Caenorhabditis elegans: one gene and its partners. The protein of the gene in region 2 interacts with the protein of the main gene of each other region in a pairwise test. Each region holds a gene or a part of one and is shown on either strand. Other genes may lie near its edges.

Evidence for each region. The genes of interacting proteins can lie anywhere in the genome.
Region 1: the proteins of let-60 (region 2) and frm-8 interact in a two-hybrid assay, tested with the Caenorhabditis elegans proteins (3 studies listed by BioGRID).
Region 3: the proteins of let-60 (region 2) and rgl-1 interact in a two-hybrid assay, tested with the Caenorhabditis elegans proteins (3 studies listed by BioGRID).

What each region holds. Positions count from the first base shown.
Region 1 is NC_003281.10:3,215,897-3,220,944, forward strand, and holds the start of frm-8 (FERM and PDZ domain-containing protein 4), read right to left. Parts: upstream 3,255-5,048; 5' UTR 3,248-3,254; coding exon 3,133-3,247; intron 490-3,132; coding exon 387-489; intron 1-386.
Region 2 is NC_003282.8:11,687,272-11,693,018, reverse strand, and holds let-60 (Ras protein let-60), read left to right. Parts: upstream 1-1,930; 5' UTR 1,931-1,941; coding exon 1,942-2,070; intron 2,071-2,765; coding exon 2,766-2,960; intron 2,961-3,017; coding exon 3,018-3,188; intron 3,189-3,913; coding exon 3,914-3,973; 3' UTR 3,974-4,792; downstream 4,793-5,747. Other genes in the region: ZK792.5 (Nucleolar protein 9), read left to right, coding at 4,902-5,192, 5,632-5,747. UniProt on the Caenorhabditis elegans protein: GTP-binding protein with GTPase activity. The level of let-60 controls the switch between vulval and hypodermal cell fates during C.elegans vulval induction. May stimulate the guanine nucleotide exchange factor (GEF) activity of rap-1.
Region 3 is NC_003284.9:3,217,040-3,222,316, reverse strand, and holds the start of rgl-1 (Ral guanine nucleotide dissociation stimulator-like 1), read left to right. Parts: upstream 1-2,023; coding exon 2,024-2,128; intron 2,129-5,277.

The DNA of each region.
Region 1 (5,048 bases), on a different chromosome or scaffold from region 2:
CCCCAATTTTCAATTTTTCGTATATTAAATTTACGAACCCCTTTTATACTTTTTCAACTATTATTTATAAAACATTCCCGTATTTAATTTCAAATAAAAAATTCTCCAATTGACGCACATCTTTCTACATTTCGCTTGAATAATTCAGGAGATGTACCCGTTTTTTCTCAGAATTCCAAATTTCCAATTGTTTGTTTTTTTGCACAAATAAAGCGCAAGAATATACACTTATTCGTTAAAAATTTAATGAAATTAGAAAAAATCGAAAAAAGTGTTTTTTCAAAATTTTTTTTCCACAGTATTTTCTTTTTTTAAAAGTTGTCATAAAATCCCAGAAAACACTAATTTGATCAATTTTACCAAAAAAATCCGAAAAAAAAACTCACTGAATATAAAAAATGCGTCCATTGTCCAGAACACACAGGTCACACTCCTCAACCAGGCTTGGGTTCATCGAGTGGTACTGTACTTGGTCGGATATTGCGTCTTCTAAAATAAATATCATAGGATTGGAAAATTTATTAAAAAAGAGTTAAAATCATGATTTTTGGTGGAAAAATGAAGAAAATCGGATGAAAATGAACCAAGTTACGAAAAATTTGAGGAAAATTTGAAATTTTTAGATTTTCCCAAAAAATTTTTTCAGATTTTTTTAGTGTTAATAGTCTAACTTTAAAATTCGAGTTCCTTACATTAGGACCTTTCAAATGGCCCCCATCATGCCTAGGTTCCGCACACTTTGGGTCCCACCACGAAAACTACGGTACCTTTGAGTTTTCGCGCCGGGGCCCAAAAAGGGGCGGATCCTAGGCATGATGGGGGTCATTTTTAAGGTCTTGGCAAAACTAGGAATGAACAGTAAGTAGGAGCATAATTTCAAAAATCGTTGTCTGAAAACTTTGAATTTTCTTTTAAAAAACCTAGTTTTTCGAATATTTTCGAAAATTGATAAATTTGTCACTTTTTATTATTTTTTGACGATTATTGGCTCAAAATGTGGGAAATTTTTCCAAATTAACAAAAAAAATTAGAAGTCCTAAAATTTAATTTGGGTGCAGTAACCCGGAAGTTTTCGCGGCGAGACCCAGGAATTTTGAAATTTGGGTTAGAATGGTCTAATTTTCTTGCAAAAAAAAAGAATTTTGCCAATTTTTTTTATAAAAAATATATTGTCCAGGTTTACTTAGAACTCACAAAACTTGAAATTTGAAATATTTTCAAAAGAAAACATTTTTTCGAGTTTTATTTTCATGTATTTATTTTTCACTCCTAAACCTACAAAAAAGAGCAGTTAAAGCTTCCAGAAAGCTTAAGCTCACGAAAATGAAAGTGAGAGCAAAAAGATGGGAATGTGTGGAAATAAAGATCACACGAGCAAAAAAAAAAACGAAGTAATGTGAGTGCAGAAAATGGGAATACGGCGCCTCGGGCGCCGTTTTTTTTCAGAATTTTTTATTAGAAAAGTAGTTTATAAAGTTTATGGATCAAGCTTTGCAGATTCTGGTGTTCAAAAATTATAAAAATTCAAATTTTTAGAAAATTTTGGAAAAAAAATTTAAATTCTAAAAAATTGTTTGCTTCAATATATAGTCCTTAAAATTTCCTATATTTTGGTAGTTGGAAATTTTTTAATAGTACGTTCCTCCGCAGAGATACAAGCGTTTGAAGTTTAGAGGGGAAAAGAGTGTGGGAGGGGGAGAGACGCAGGCGGCGCGCGCACACACGGCGTCTCGCCTCCCCTCACACTCTCTCATCGTCTGATTTTCAAACGCGTATATCTCCGCGGGGGAAAGCGCTAATGAAAAGTTTTTGACTAACAAAATATAGGAAATTTTATGGGCTATATTTTGACAGCCAAAACAATTTTGCTAGATCATTTGGGTCTTGAGAAAATCAGTTTTTCTTCAAGAATGGCTAGAAAAGTACAAAATTTGATTTTAAAAAAGTGTGAGCTGGTTCAAACTGGTGAAAATTTGAACATTTTTCAACTGTAAAAGTTGTCAAATATATTTAATCTGAATTGAAACCTGGTGTTAGTATAAAAATAAACAACATTTCGTATAGTTTGGGGATTTCCACAGATTATGTCTACCGATGGTCTTGTACCGGAAAAACAAAAAATATAGTGATGTTACACAAAAATATTGTGAACTTAATAATAATTATAATAAGAATTTAGAGAGGAAAAAAGGAAAAATTGGAAATCGGTCACTGAACTTGATATTGATGATCTATAGAATATCATCAATGATGAGATTTGATAACAGTTTTGATAAGGGTTCAGATGTACCAAAACACTGCAAAAACTGATACATTTTGATATGGGGAAAATTGGAAAATTTTTGAAAAAAAACAATTTTGAATTAAAAAGAAAAAATTTTTTTTCTTCGAAATTTAGAAATTTCATTTTTTGTTGTTGTTGCAAACTCGAAATAATTGAGTTGAAACTTAAATTTTCAAATTTTTCGTTCCAAGATCTTCAAAATGACCCCCATCATGCCTAGGATCCGCCCCTTTTTGGGCCCCGGCGCGAAAACTCAAAGGTACCGTAGTTTTCGTGGTGGGACCCAAAGTGTGCGGAACCTAGGCATGATGGGGGCCATTTGAAAGGTCCTAATGTAAGGAACTCGAATTTTAAAGTTAGACTATTAGAAGATCTTCAAAATGACCCCCATCATGCCTAGGTTCCGCCCACTTTGGGTCCCACAACGAAAACTACAGTACCCCAATTTCGCTGTGAGACCCAAAATAGGCGGAGCCTAGTCATGATGGGGGTCATTTTGACGGTTTCAAAAAGATCAAATTCATAAAATCGGTCGGAAGTGAATTTGAACATTAGTTTTATGAAAATTTTAAGTTTTCCAAAAAAAAAAATTTCGAAATTTTCGACTTTTTCGAAAACCGCTAACTTTGTCAATTTTTATTACTTTTTGATGGTTTTTTGTTCAAAATGTAGCAGAAGTTGCAATTTAACAAAAGAAAATAATAAACTTTAAAAGTATTGTTCTGGTACAGTAACCCAGAGATTTTCGCGGTGAGACCCCAAAATTTTCATATTTGGCTTAAAATGCCCCATTTTTCTCCGATTGTTCTCAAATTTTCAAATTTACCGCCACAAAAAAATAAGCTCACCGTCATCTAGAGTAGTCGAAAAGGTAACCCTCTCTTCCTGTGTATCATTTGAACCATGCCGGAGTATTTGAGCACTGGAGCCATCCGATGATGAAGTGGTCTCCAGGTCACCCATATTTTGGCTGAAATTGGGGGAATTGTAGAAAAGTGGAGTGGAATTAAAAAAAAAAAAGGAATAGAAAGAAGGTTAGGAAAAAATTATGGATGCAAAAAAATTTCTGATAAAAAAATTGCAAAAAAAAGTTTGTAAAAATGTTTTTAAAAAAAAATGTTTTTTTTCAAATTTTCAAAACCTTAAAATTTTTAAAAATCTTAGTAAATTTGAATTTTTAGGTATATCTACCAAAATTTTTTAAATGCGGAAAAGTTTTAGGGTTTACAGAAAAAAAATCATAAAAACAAACAAAAAATTATAGAAATCACAGGAAAAAATCTGAAATTTTCCGGGTTTTAAGCTGCAAAATAATTAAACAATTGATATAAAAACTACGGAATTAAATTAGAACAACTAAATAAAAAAAATAGAATAGAGATTTTCTGAAAAAAAATTTTTTTTTGGATTTTTTTTTGGATTTTTTTTTGACTTTACAAAGAACTTTGGATTATATTTTTTTAATTTTTTTATACATTTTTTTCAATTTATACACTTATATGTTTAATTTTGCATAAATCAATAGAACAACATTTTTTAAGAATGGTAAAAAATTTTGGATTTTTTTTTTTGAAAATTCCAAAAAAAATTTTTGGATTCTTTTTTTTGCAAAATTCCAAAAAAATTGGAATTTTTTTGGAATTTGTAAATTTTGTGATAATTTTAAGGTTAATAAGTTCTCTAATTTAAAATTAACGCTCAAATTATCACCATAAAAATTGGAAAAAATCCTGAATGAAAGTATTTAATTTTGAAAAAAAAAATTGTTTTCGACTTTTTATTTTGGAATTTAAAAAAATTAAATTATTAATTTTTTTCAATTTATAATATTCACAATAGTTACCTTTATTAATAAAACAACAATAGAAAACAGGAATAAATCTGAATAAAGTTTTTTCTGAAATATTTTCTCTCTGAATTTATTATTTTAAAAATTATTTTTTAAAACAAAATTTATAAAATGTATAAATTTAATAGAGTTAGAAGCAATAAATTGACGAAAAATCGTGAAAATTCAAAAAAAAATTTAGACCGAAAATATTTATGAAAATTAGATTACAAATTTTTTAGAATATTTCAGAATAAAAATTAAAAAACCAAATTTTTTCAACAAAAAATTCCAGAATGTCAAATAAGGAATGTGTTCCATCAAACAAAGTAGAAAAAAACAGCTCAAAACAAAAAAGGACCTGTCTTCCACTGTCTGCGTCTCTCTCACTCTCTCCCTCCCTCACTTAGTTAATCAGACATCCCAAACTCGGGAGGCGTCCAAAGAAAACGAAGACGGCAGCAGTGTGAGCTATTCAGAAGAAATCCTCTGCGTCTCTCGCCTCACCACACACTCTCTCGCCGCTTCTAACCCTCTCTGTCTCCCCGGCTCGCGGAGCCAAACCCAACGGAGCACAAAAGATGCATTGGAAGAATGGAGGAAAGGACAGGATGAAGAAGAAGAAGTAAAGTTACTCTTACTTCTTTGGATTTTTCAAGAAACACGTGTAACGGAACAATAGAGGGCACCTGCATAGCTAACAATTTGCGTCATTACTTTTGCTATTGTTGGCGAGAGGTCAAAGAAAAACTTGCATTCCTCAAAAATCAAAAAAGCTACTCAAAAATTTACAACTGGCAAAGTATCGACCTTGAAATTTGCTATATTTTAATAGTTAAAAGTTTTTTGATAGCTCTTACCCCCGCAGAGATACAAGCGTTTAAAGAAAGTGTGTGCAAGAGAGTGTGGAGGGAGGGGAGACGCAGTGTGCGCACG
Region 2 (5,747 bases):
TTCTAGATTATTTGGGAGCAAACATTTTTAGAAATTCCCAAAGTAGATTAACAAAGAAAATTCAAATATAAATCTACTGGACATTCAAAGAAAAGCACTTAGACAATTTGAATCGAATTCCTCAAATTCTTGAACTATTTTTTAGAGGATTTCAATTGGACAGAAAGAATCTCAAGCACTTAACGTCGGCGGAAATAGTTTTTTTTTTTCAAAAAGAGACCACCGCCTTTGCTAGAAACGAAAATTGCATGCGTTCCATTAAATAATTCAATTCATCGTTATCACCATCCTTCGTCGTCGTCGTTATCGTCAGAAACAGATAGGGATGGGTCGATACAAAAAGAAAGTGGACAGTTCTTTTCTCTCACTCTTTTTCTCTTTTACAAATCACACTTGTTTCGTCTCACACACGCTCACTTCTTGTCTCTTCTCCCAACAGTCGTCGCAAAACCGTCAAAAGCGTAGCGGCTGTCGCGTCGCGGTCGTTCGTGTCTATGCATCACCGTTTCTAGTGCTCTCTAATTGTCCCGCCGTAGCAGTAGCAGCAGTAGCAGCGGCATGGTGGGGACCGCACTCCTTTATCTTTTACTCTTACTTTGTGTGTGTGTATGGGGGGTGCGAGAGAAAGAGATAAAAAAGAAAGAAAGAGAGAGTGTGTGGTTTCTGTGCTTCTGTGCACTCCAGAGCCTCGGATTTCTTTTCCTATGAACTTCATTTCTCGTCTCCATCATCAGAAGGAAGAAGAATTCTTCAGAATCTTGCACTTGAAGCGTTTTCTGCCTATTTATTTTCTCCTCCCGAGTTCATCTCTCTATTCGTCTTTAGCTTAATCCATTTTATTAGGCACGCACCCGCTCCTTGGTTCAACCAAATGAGAAGATAGAAAAGATGGAGCAACGCATCCCAAATTGTGTGATAGGATTAAAGTAGTGTGGAAGAAAAAAAAATGCAGAGTGAGAGAAGGGGCAGTCTTCTTTTCCGGTCTTACTAATCCTAACGTCTTCTTTTTCCTTCCTATCTCTCATCTCTCAACTTCTGAAATAGTTGAGATGAGTGATTTCGTAAGTTCATTATTCTTTTTTGTCAGTTTTTGCTTATAGTTCCTACGGGAATCATTGTTTCTTAAACATGCTACTTCTTTAAACAATTTATATTTAACAAAGTAAAATTGAACGTTTTTTTAAAAACTTTCTAACTGAATTTCGTAAATTTATTTGTTTCCTTGTGAAAAATGCTTGTCAGGAAAACTTTACTTCTCTACGTCTCAATCTCTGCAATCTTTTAACGAGAGATCGGAGAATTTTGTATTGGAAAAGTGAAAAAGAAAAATGAAAGAGACCCACTCGACACTGAGGGCGACCGAAAAGAAACCGACGAAAAAAAACGACGATTCGAGCCATTTGTCAGCGACAATAAGTGGTCGGGTCGCACCACTGTCCGCCGTCTCACCGATTTTAACATTATATTGTCCCCCTTTTTCTTCATCGCTTTGAAATCAATTTTTGATGAAGTGAAGACCTTTTTTCTCCTGGTTTTTTTTTTAATAATTGCATTACCCCATTTTTTAAAGTTCAAAATTACTCAAACTATTTGAATTCTTCTTTTTTTCAAATTGTAATGACTCATTCTCCGTCGTCTTCAAATAGTTACTCATTCCGACTCACCACCTAGTTTATTAACAGGAAAGTTCATTCTTTTTCTATCTTCTCAATTATTCTCAAGTAGTCATCATCGGTTTTTTATTTCTTTCCTGGTAGTTACTCTCCTTTATCGAAACTTTTTTTTGAAAAAAAAAAGAAACGGAATTCTGAGTATGCCGATAGGCAGAGCTGCTCTTTGGCAGTGCTCCCACAGAAATCCTTCTCCACTTCGTTTTCTCATTTCCATCTCTATTTTACATTTTTCCATATTCAACTATGCGTCTTTTTTCAGAAAAGGGTAATGACGGAGTACAAGCTTGTGGTAGTTGGAGATGGAGGAGTTGGTAAATCAGCACTCACCATTCAACTCATCCAGAATCACTTTGTCGAAGAATACGACCCGACCATAGAGGACAGCTACAGAAAGCAGGTGAGAAATCATTGGGAACATCCGCTACACACATGTGGTGGGAGCAAATTGAACGAAAATGATGGCATTTGAAATTGAACAAAAAAACGATGAGTCAGAAGTTTGGAAGTTTTTTGAAACACATCGAGCTGTTTAATTGATTCCAAAGACGAATAAATCGTGCTGAAACACGAAAAATTCCGAAATTTTCGAAAAAAAACCAATTTTTCGTGTTTTGGACACGACATTATAAAATGGCTGGAACTGAAAAAAATGGCTCGAATCATGATTTTTCATTGTCCCCCGAAAATTCTCACAAAAAAAAATTGGAAAACCGAAAATTTTAGTTTTTGCAAAAACCGGAAAAATTCTGAAAACACTCCAAAATCGATATTTCTCAGACGAATTTCAATAATTACATTCCGTTTTACGTTTTATACAAAAAACAGAAATTTCACTTTTTTTTTGAGAAAGGGCCCAAAACTTTTTTTTAGATTTTTTGTTTTTTTAAAGCAAATCGATAAACCAGCATGCCTGCTCGTGTCGTGTGAGGAGTATAAATTTTTTTAAACGTATATTCATCTTTAAACTCTGAAATTCAGAATATTATTGAGCCCTAATTTTCAGTGTTTTCATTTGAGTTTTTAACCAGTAAAAATAGTTTTTCAGTTTTAAAAATTGCTCCGAGAGCTAGTTTTTAAATATTCTAATTTCAGGTTGTGATAGACGGTGAGACATGCCTCCTCGACATATTGGATACCGCCGGACAAGAAGAATATTCGGCGATGCGTGATCAGTACATGAGGACAGGCGAAGGATTTCTGTTGGTTTTCGCCGTCAACGAGGCTAAATCTTTCGAGAATGTCGCTAACTACCGCGAGCAGATTCGGAGGGTAAAGGATTCAGATGATGTGAGTTTTTTTTGTTGAAATTATCAGTCAATGGTTGAATATTTGTATTTCTTCTAGGTTCCTATGGTCTTGGTAGGGAATAAATGTGATTTGTCATCTCGATCAGTCGACTTCCGAACAGTCAGTGAGACAGCAAAGGGTTACGGTATTCCGAATGTCGACACATCTGCCAAAACGCGTATGGGAGTTGATGAAGCATTTTACACACTTGTTAGAGAAATTCGCAAGGTAATTTTTTAGTTAAAAATTTAAATTAAAAATAATGTTTTTAATGTACAATTAAGGTACAAATTCAGTCATTATTATATGAAAATTGAAAGACGCGAGATTTTGATATTTTCGCGCCAAAAATACGACACCCGGTCTGTTCGATTTGCTCCTTCAAATATTATGGTAACTTTATACTGTCGTTACAGCGGAATTTTCATCAATTTTTTTAAGTTTTCGATATTATAAAAATATTTAAAAACACAGCAGTTTTAATAAATCGGTGAAAATTACCCCAGAAACGAAATATTAAAGTTACTGTATTCTTTAAAGGCGCACATACGTTTGCATTTAACACAAATTCATCGTGTCGAGACCGGGCACCGCATCTTTAATTTGAAAATCGCCAAATGTTGCATTTGAGTAATACAAAAACGTTGTTTTTAAAAATTTTCTGTTTTGTAAAGCTCTAAAATGTTATTATTGTTATCAACAGTTTCAAGTTTCCATTTTTCACTAAAAACGAAAAATGTAAGTTTTTCCGATATTTCGAAACAAAAGCTCAAAGTTTTGGTCATTTTCTTAATTTTTAAAGAAAATTATATGTTTTCTTTTGTTTTTTTTCTCACCAGCATGCACAAAATCTGATAAAAAATTGAGTTTTATTGTTAATTTTCTAAAAAAAATTTTGATGACACCCTAGATTGATATCCGAAAGATTTAATAATGTTTTCTTTTTATTTCAGCATCGTGAGCGTCACGACAATAATAAGCCACAAAAGAAGAAGAAGTGTCAAATAATGTGATTCAGCGTCGGGAATTGCCCAATTTCGCCAACTCATTTTCAGTCGTGTCAACTCCCACCCAATTATCCTTTCTCGTACTTTTTTGGTACATTTTCATTATTCATTTATCTGTTTTATCTGAAACTTGTGATCGATCCTCTTCCGCCTCTACATACTCTTCGAATTTCCACCTTTTTTTCTCTATGCATCGATTGAACTTGTTCTCTCGTCTGCTCGTCATTATTTTTTCTCCTTTTTTTTCTTCATCCTTCATTCTAATTCCTCATCTTTCGCTTAGCCCAAATCTCCATTCATTCATAGGTGTCAAAACTAGCTGTAGTGTGTGATCCATATCTAAAACATGCATCCGAACCCCCTCCTCGTTCCAAAATTGGCCAACTCTACCAAAAAAAACATCGCACCATTTTTTTTTCACTTTCTCTGCATATTTTCAGAATGTTTGTATTGCTTTTTTGATGCTTTATTCCCCTTCCTCGTTTTCATACAAATTATTGGCCTCATCTATTTTCAGAAGTTCTCTGAAAATTAAATTCTTTTGCATCTGCCGGTCGTTCCGTTTATTTTTTCTCTGTTTCCTCTCATTTTTGTCAAGTAATTATTTCTCTTTCATTAACTATAATATAGATACAATTAGACCCCATTTCTCATACATTTTCTGAACATCTGAAAGTTTTTGCTCCCTCGTATTGCATTCATTTTTCTCTATTCCTCTACATTTTATAGTCCTATCTGAATATAATATTCCTATTCTTTTGATCAAGTTTTTATTATTATTTTATTTTCAAGGAAGTATTGCAATGATATAAATTTTAAAAAGCTAATATTATTTTTTTAAATCTATTCAACTATATTTTGTTAATTTCAGTGTTATATTTTGACCTCGCCATCGGAGCATGATTTTAAAAAAAACTAAATTTAATTTATTAGAATGACGAGAAAAAGGAAAAATGTAGAGTCTGATGAGAATCCTCCAGCGAAAAACTCATTTGAAGGATACGGATATGCTGCTGCTGATGCTGAGAAGAAGCCACAGGAGGAGAGAAACAATTTCAGAACTTTTCTAGCCAAAAATGAACGATTTGGAAGTGGAAATCGAGGTGGAGGAGGTCGTGGAAGAGGAGGAGATGGTGGATTTAGAAGAAATGATAGAGGTGGACGTGGTGGTGGTGGAAGAGGATTCGGTGGTAACAGAGAATTCAGTGCCGGAGATTTTGAGAAGGTTTGTGTCAGATGGTGTCGTGAGTGATGTAGCGTCTCTGGCTTTTTAAACTCAAAATTACAGAAAAAGTTTCGATATGTCGAGTTAAAAACATTTCTAAAATTTGTATTATTTTGCAAAAAATAAAAAAAAGCCGAATTATTTTTGAATTTTTTAGTCATTTTCCTGGACAAAAATTGTTCAAAATGTGGAATTATAGGTTTTAGACCAATTTCATTTTATCGAATTTCGTTCGGATTTTCGAGGTTTCTTTCCGAAAAACTGTCTGAAAAAATGAGCGCGGGAATTCACAAATATTTCAGTATTTTTTTGAAATTGAATTTTAAAAAATTTATATTCGATATATTGAGACTTTTTTCTGTGAAGAATCGATAAAATGAACTCCAAAGCGCTCCCTAGGCAATTACCACAAAAACGTATATATTTATTTAATTTACAGCAATACGGTCGAGTTGGCGGCGGTGATGACACGAATTCAGGACAACCGGATAGCTACGGACAAGCTGATTCGGCTTCATTCAACGACTCTCGACCAGATGGAGATGGTCGTGAATT
Region 3 (5,277 bases), on a different chromosome or scaffold from region 2:
ACGGATAATGAATAGTATAAAAATAATAAGTACAATTGCATGACACCAACTTGTTTTAATTTCTACACCATCTTCTTTGCCTTTGTTTTTTTCTTCCACTAATTCTGTTGCCTTGTCAGTTTCATTCTGTCTCATTATCTCTATCACCACTCCTTCACATTATCATTGTCGCTAATCTCGGTTTCTTGTCGCTAGACTAATTTCCGGGACCCAAAAAACATTGCTAGCAGCTTGATTATCGTTTTCTTATATAAAATTTTGATCTTCCAATAATTGCGACTTTTCAAGAGATAATTTTTTTTCAAAATCCAGGAAGGCACAATTCGAACGGCCGTGTTCGAAGTAGTATCTAGCGGGACGGTGACCTTGCGAATGAATTTCCTACATTGCATCAACCTCATTCCACTGTCTTTTCCTTTTTCAATCAATCTTCTCCCAATTTTTTTTCTGCTACTACATTCTCTCTATCCATTTTCAACTAATTTTACATATATTGTTTTCTCCAACCGTCTAACAAAATCAAAGGTTTTTCTAGCCGTCTCGTCGGTACTTTTTGGGATGTATTCAACCTGTTTTTACTTTTAAACAGCTTTCATTTTCCTCGTTGTGGGAAAATTGACGCCATGGGAAATAATGACGTTCAGTTGATTTTTGTTATATTTTCTGGATTATATGTTTTCAAATCAAATAACTGTAGTGATTTGTTTAAAAAAATTTTAAACTTTTCATTAAACTGTTAGATTCCAAGAAGTAAAGAAGTATTGTTATTTTTCTTCCCATCTCTTATTGTATCTTTCGTTTTTTTTCTTCATTATTCTTTTCGTCACCATTTTTTTGCCCCCGTTTTCCAGTCTCTTTTCCGAAAAACTACCACACCCTTAATATTTCTCCGTTTTCTGTGAAACTCTGCAGTATTAGTTTCCGAGTTTTTTTTTGTGTCGTTCCAGAATCCGCATCTCTTTTCCAATCTCATTTCGGATGATGTTTCATTTTTTTCCGTTTGGTCGGCACCGTTACCTCTCATTTCCATATTCGTTTACCTTTGTCATCACATTCCATTTATCATTTCTTCGTTTCCCTTTTGTGTCTTTTGGAAAAGCCAAAACTGTTCGAGAATCTGTACTTTTGAGAACGACATAAACGCTTTTGAACTGAGAAAATTCTTGAATTTTGTGAAGAGACTTCATTTATTTTTTTATTTCCTTTGCTCACAAGCAGTGACATAATTTTTTTTATTTCAAAGAAAATTTTTTTCTTAAGCATATGATTTCAGAAACCTATACAAGTATAGTTTGCTCAGTTAAGAAAGTCTCAGAAATTGGCAATGTGTTGTAAAAGTGGCTTTTGGTTTTGATTCACAAAATAAATCTTGTCACTGTAAGGGAAGATTTCCTTCCGCATCCATTCACAGTGTACACAGATAATGCCGTCAGATATAAACGCTTGGCAGAATATAGACGAGGCTTTTGTCATTCGATGTTCAGTTTAGCTTTGTTTTAGTCTTAGAAATTGGTTTAAGGTTTCGTTTTTTTAAATACTGAATTTTCTCTATTAATTTTGCCCCTTATTGTTCAACTTTTACAGCCAAAATCGCATTTTTTGTTATTCTAATACAAAAATTGTCATCCTGACGAAAAATACGTTTTTCCTATAGGGTAATTTCTCCAAGCGATTTTTTTTTGACTGTGGGTTTCACATTTCCTATTGAAAATTTTTTAAAAATAATTACAGATTTGTTAACTCAATTTCTTGCACATTGAATAGTTATTGTTTCCTTCCTTCTGTTTTTTAATTAATTCAAACTCGAAAAGCTTCCTATTTCAGTTTAAGTACTTAATTTCTGATTCCTGAATGTGTTTATCAAAACTTGCAGTTTGTTTATAACTTTTGCAAATTCTTTTTGAGTTTTCAATACCTTCCTTCAATTGCAACATTTTCTATATTTTCAGGGCATGACGGGTTGAATAGAATCAACAGGATCAGTGAGAGAAACCATCGTCAGAAGAACTCAGACCAATCTTAAATGGCTACGCGTTACTGGGGTGACGAAAAACACCCGGACGCAATATATGCTGTATATTTACGTAAGGTTCGATATGTGCCGCCACAAGGATACGAAGGTGTTCCGGTATGTACATTTCACTGCTGCTTTTCAGGAAGAAAAATACTACATACATATATACACACACACACAAAAAACATTTTTCTTGACGCTAGTAGGCTTGGCCCAATAAAATGAAATTGGAATGGAAGAACGTATATGCTTTGTGATCACAATCTTGCATTTCGAAGTAGTCCAGATGGTTGTAAGATACAGTTTCTCGACCCATTTCACGGGGGGTGAATTGTTCTTTTTCCCATTCATACCTTTTCCGTCTTCCGACCACATCACCTTATTTCCTGTCCCCCACAGATTGTCTTATCGCATATTGTTTTTGCAAACCTAAACATTGCCGCAGATATGAGACTCAGGAAAACCAGCGTTTTTACGGTAACTTTTTAGAATCTTTTTAGGTATTTCTAAAATATTTTCAAAAGTGCTATGCATTGGGTGATTACAAAATTGGTCATTTGGTAAAACTTTTCTTTCTGTGATTTTGCATTGATCCAAAATTTGTTAATCCTCCTTTTCCCCTTTTTCCTATAGATGAAGCTGAGTGCCACTTATTTTTTTCCGTTCTTCGCGAATTCTTCTCACATTTCTGGAACTCTGGAACATTCTACGTATTATTCACAATTCTCAAAATCACATGAAAACTCAGAAAAAGTTTTGAAACATGGCAAAAGCTTGTGAATCCTGTGGCCATAGAAAATAAAACATTTGCCACATATAACATAGTGACGAATATTTGACACGCGACCACTGAGCTCCAGTTTCGTTGCTAGAATTACGAAAGGATGAACGTTTGGAGCAGTCTTAGGCTTCATTCCTATAGTCTTGATTTTGAAGACAGATGCTCAAAATTTGCTCATTATATTAGCTCGGTAAGCATTTTTTCGAGGAATTGGATATGAAAAAATTGTTTTTCTGAATTTGTTTAAAGTTCCCAGTGATAATTTGCGATTTTTGATAATATTAAAACTCTGGAAATAGAGCTTTCAAGTAAGTTTAAAGCAAAAAAATTGTTTTTTTTCAAGTTTAACCTAGTTCTAGGAATACCCAATTTTTATATTTTAAGTCATACGAATATATTGTATTTTGATTTAGTTTTGCATTTAAAAAAATACTAAGGCATTTGCATTTAATCTTGGACAAATTAACTAGTTTTTGGATTTTAAAAAAATTTTGAATAAAGGGTAGAATAATACATGCTTTTGAATTTTCAAATTTGCCTAATAAAAACGGCGCAGATTTTACATAACAACTAGTTTATTGAAAACTATTTGTTAGCTTTTTTAGCTTTTTTTTTTTAATTGCTAAATAAGTTACTAATTCAGTAAGATCAACTTTACTTATTATATATCCCTACAATATAGATATTTGTTCAATTGTAGCATCTTATTTATCAGTACTTGATGTCAGAGCAAGTTGGTCTTATCGCGGTTTTTTTTCGACCAACTATATGACTCATTGCGCAATCAGTAACTTTTGGGTGTCCACCGGAAAGCGCCTTTCCCAAACAATGCTCTTATTGTTCCAAAAAAAAATTATCAACATATGTGTTGCTTTCTCCTAATTCATTTTTTAAATCAGATAATACACTCCGCCGGAGCGCGTTATCTGTCCTTCCAACACCAAAAAATGTGTCTATCCTCATTACGTCTTGTTTTTGCTTTGGCAAAGCCTCGTTTTCTCTCTCTCTTTCGCTCTTATTTCAGTCGGTCTCTCTCTCTTTTCCGCTTGAATACGATCCGTCTTATCACTTTCTATTTGCCATTTTGATATCGAATGAGAAGGAGGCAGAAGAAGGAGCGAAGGAAGGCAAGAAATCGAGAGATTGTAACGTTTGTAGCAGATGTTAGACGTTGGAAAAAAGGTGGCTGGGTAACGCGTACTTCTAACTATTTTCGCCCCCACTCACAACCGAGGTCTTCCTCTCCATTTCCAATTCTGGGCCCCCCGTGTCCTCCGTCAACTGTCGGGCAGCCGCCGCCGCCGCCGCCAACAGTAAATCTCATCGGTTTCAATTCGGAAAAGGAATTGGCGGAGAAGAAGGCGAAGTGAAACGAAGCGACATCTAGAACTCCCCATACCTCACTCCCTCACAATAACCTCTTCGGAATCGAGGGCGACCGTCATAAAGCCATCTTTTCTATCCGAACACTTAGAGTAACAAACAAATACCATGACGACACGTACTTTTGCCCGCTTTTTGTCATCTGCCGGTTATTCACCGTCTGCCAAGATGCGCTCGTCATCTATTCAACAACTCTATATTATCATGACGGTAAGTACGTTATTCTTCTTCTTATTCTTATTCTTCCCATTTTTTCTTCCTACTTTTCAATTGTTTTTTATATTAGCTTTCTTCCGTTGCATATCTCTTTACTTTTCCCGTCAGCTAGAATATTTTTCACCAAGCACATCAACACATCTGTTTACGTTTCACATCTGTGATTTTGAATTCATTCTTGGTGCCAGATATTCCGTACCAGGTGGGTGATTTTGTCACGCTTTTTCACAATTCTACTCGTTCGGTTGTACAGAAGGAGGTTTATGAACAGCTGGATTACTGGTTTTACTGCTTGTTGACCTAGATTAAAGGTGCACTTTTACCATTTCAACCACCCATATATGTTGGACAGCTTTTATTCATCATGTGGGCTTTTACAATTTCTAGAGCACTTTGTATATGTTTTGATTCTTGCTCCACTTTTCATCATTATCTGTCCTGTTCCTCTTCCTCGTTTCTCTTCTTGTCATTTAGTTCAACTCAATCATCTGTCACTATCGATATAAATTACACGAGAGAGGCAGTTCTCCTCGCTAATGCTAATTCTAATTTTCATTTTCGTATTTCCCGCTACTACTACCACCACCACCACAAAGTCTCCTCGCCAAAACCAATGAAACGTTTCTTTGTGACACACACAAAAAAAAATAATGTTCGTGCGTCAGTGAGATTTGGTGTTCCGACGACGACAGGTTTGTTGAAAACTTTGCACGCACATACATACACACCATTAGACTGTTCCATGATCTGATCTTGTCAGCCGTTCGGATAATGTTCTTGAGACATCATGCATAACTGTTTCCAGAAATGTATGTAATCGTTTTGTATGATGACTGACTGAATGACTAAATGAAGGCAGTAAAAATGGAGATGGCTAGGAAGA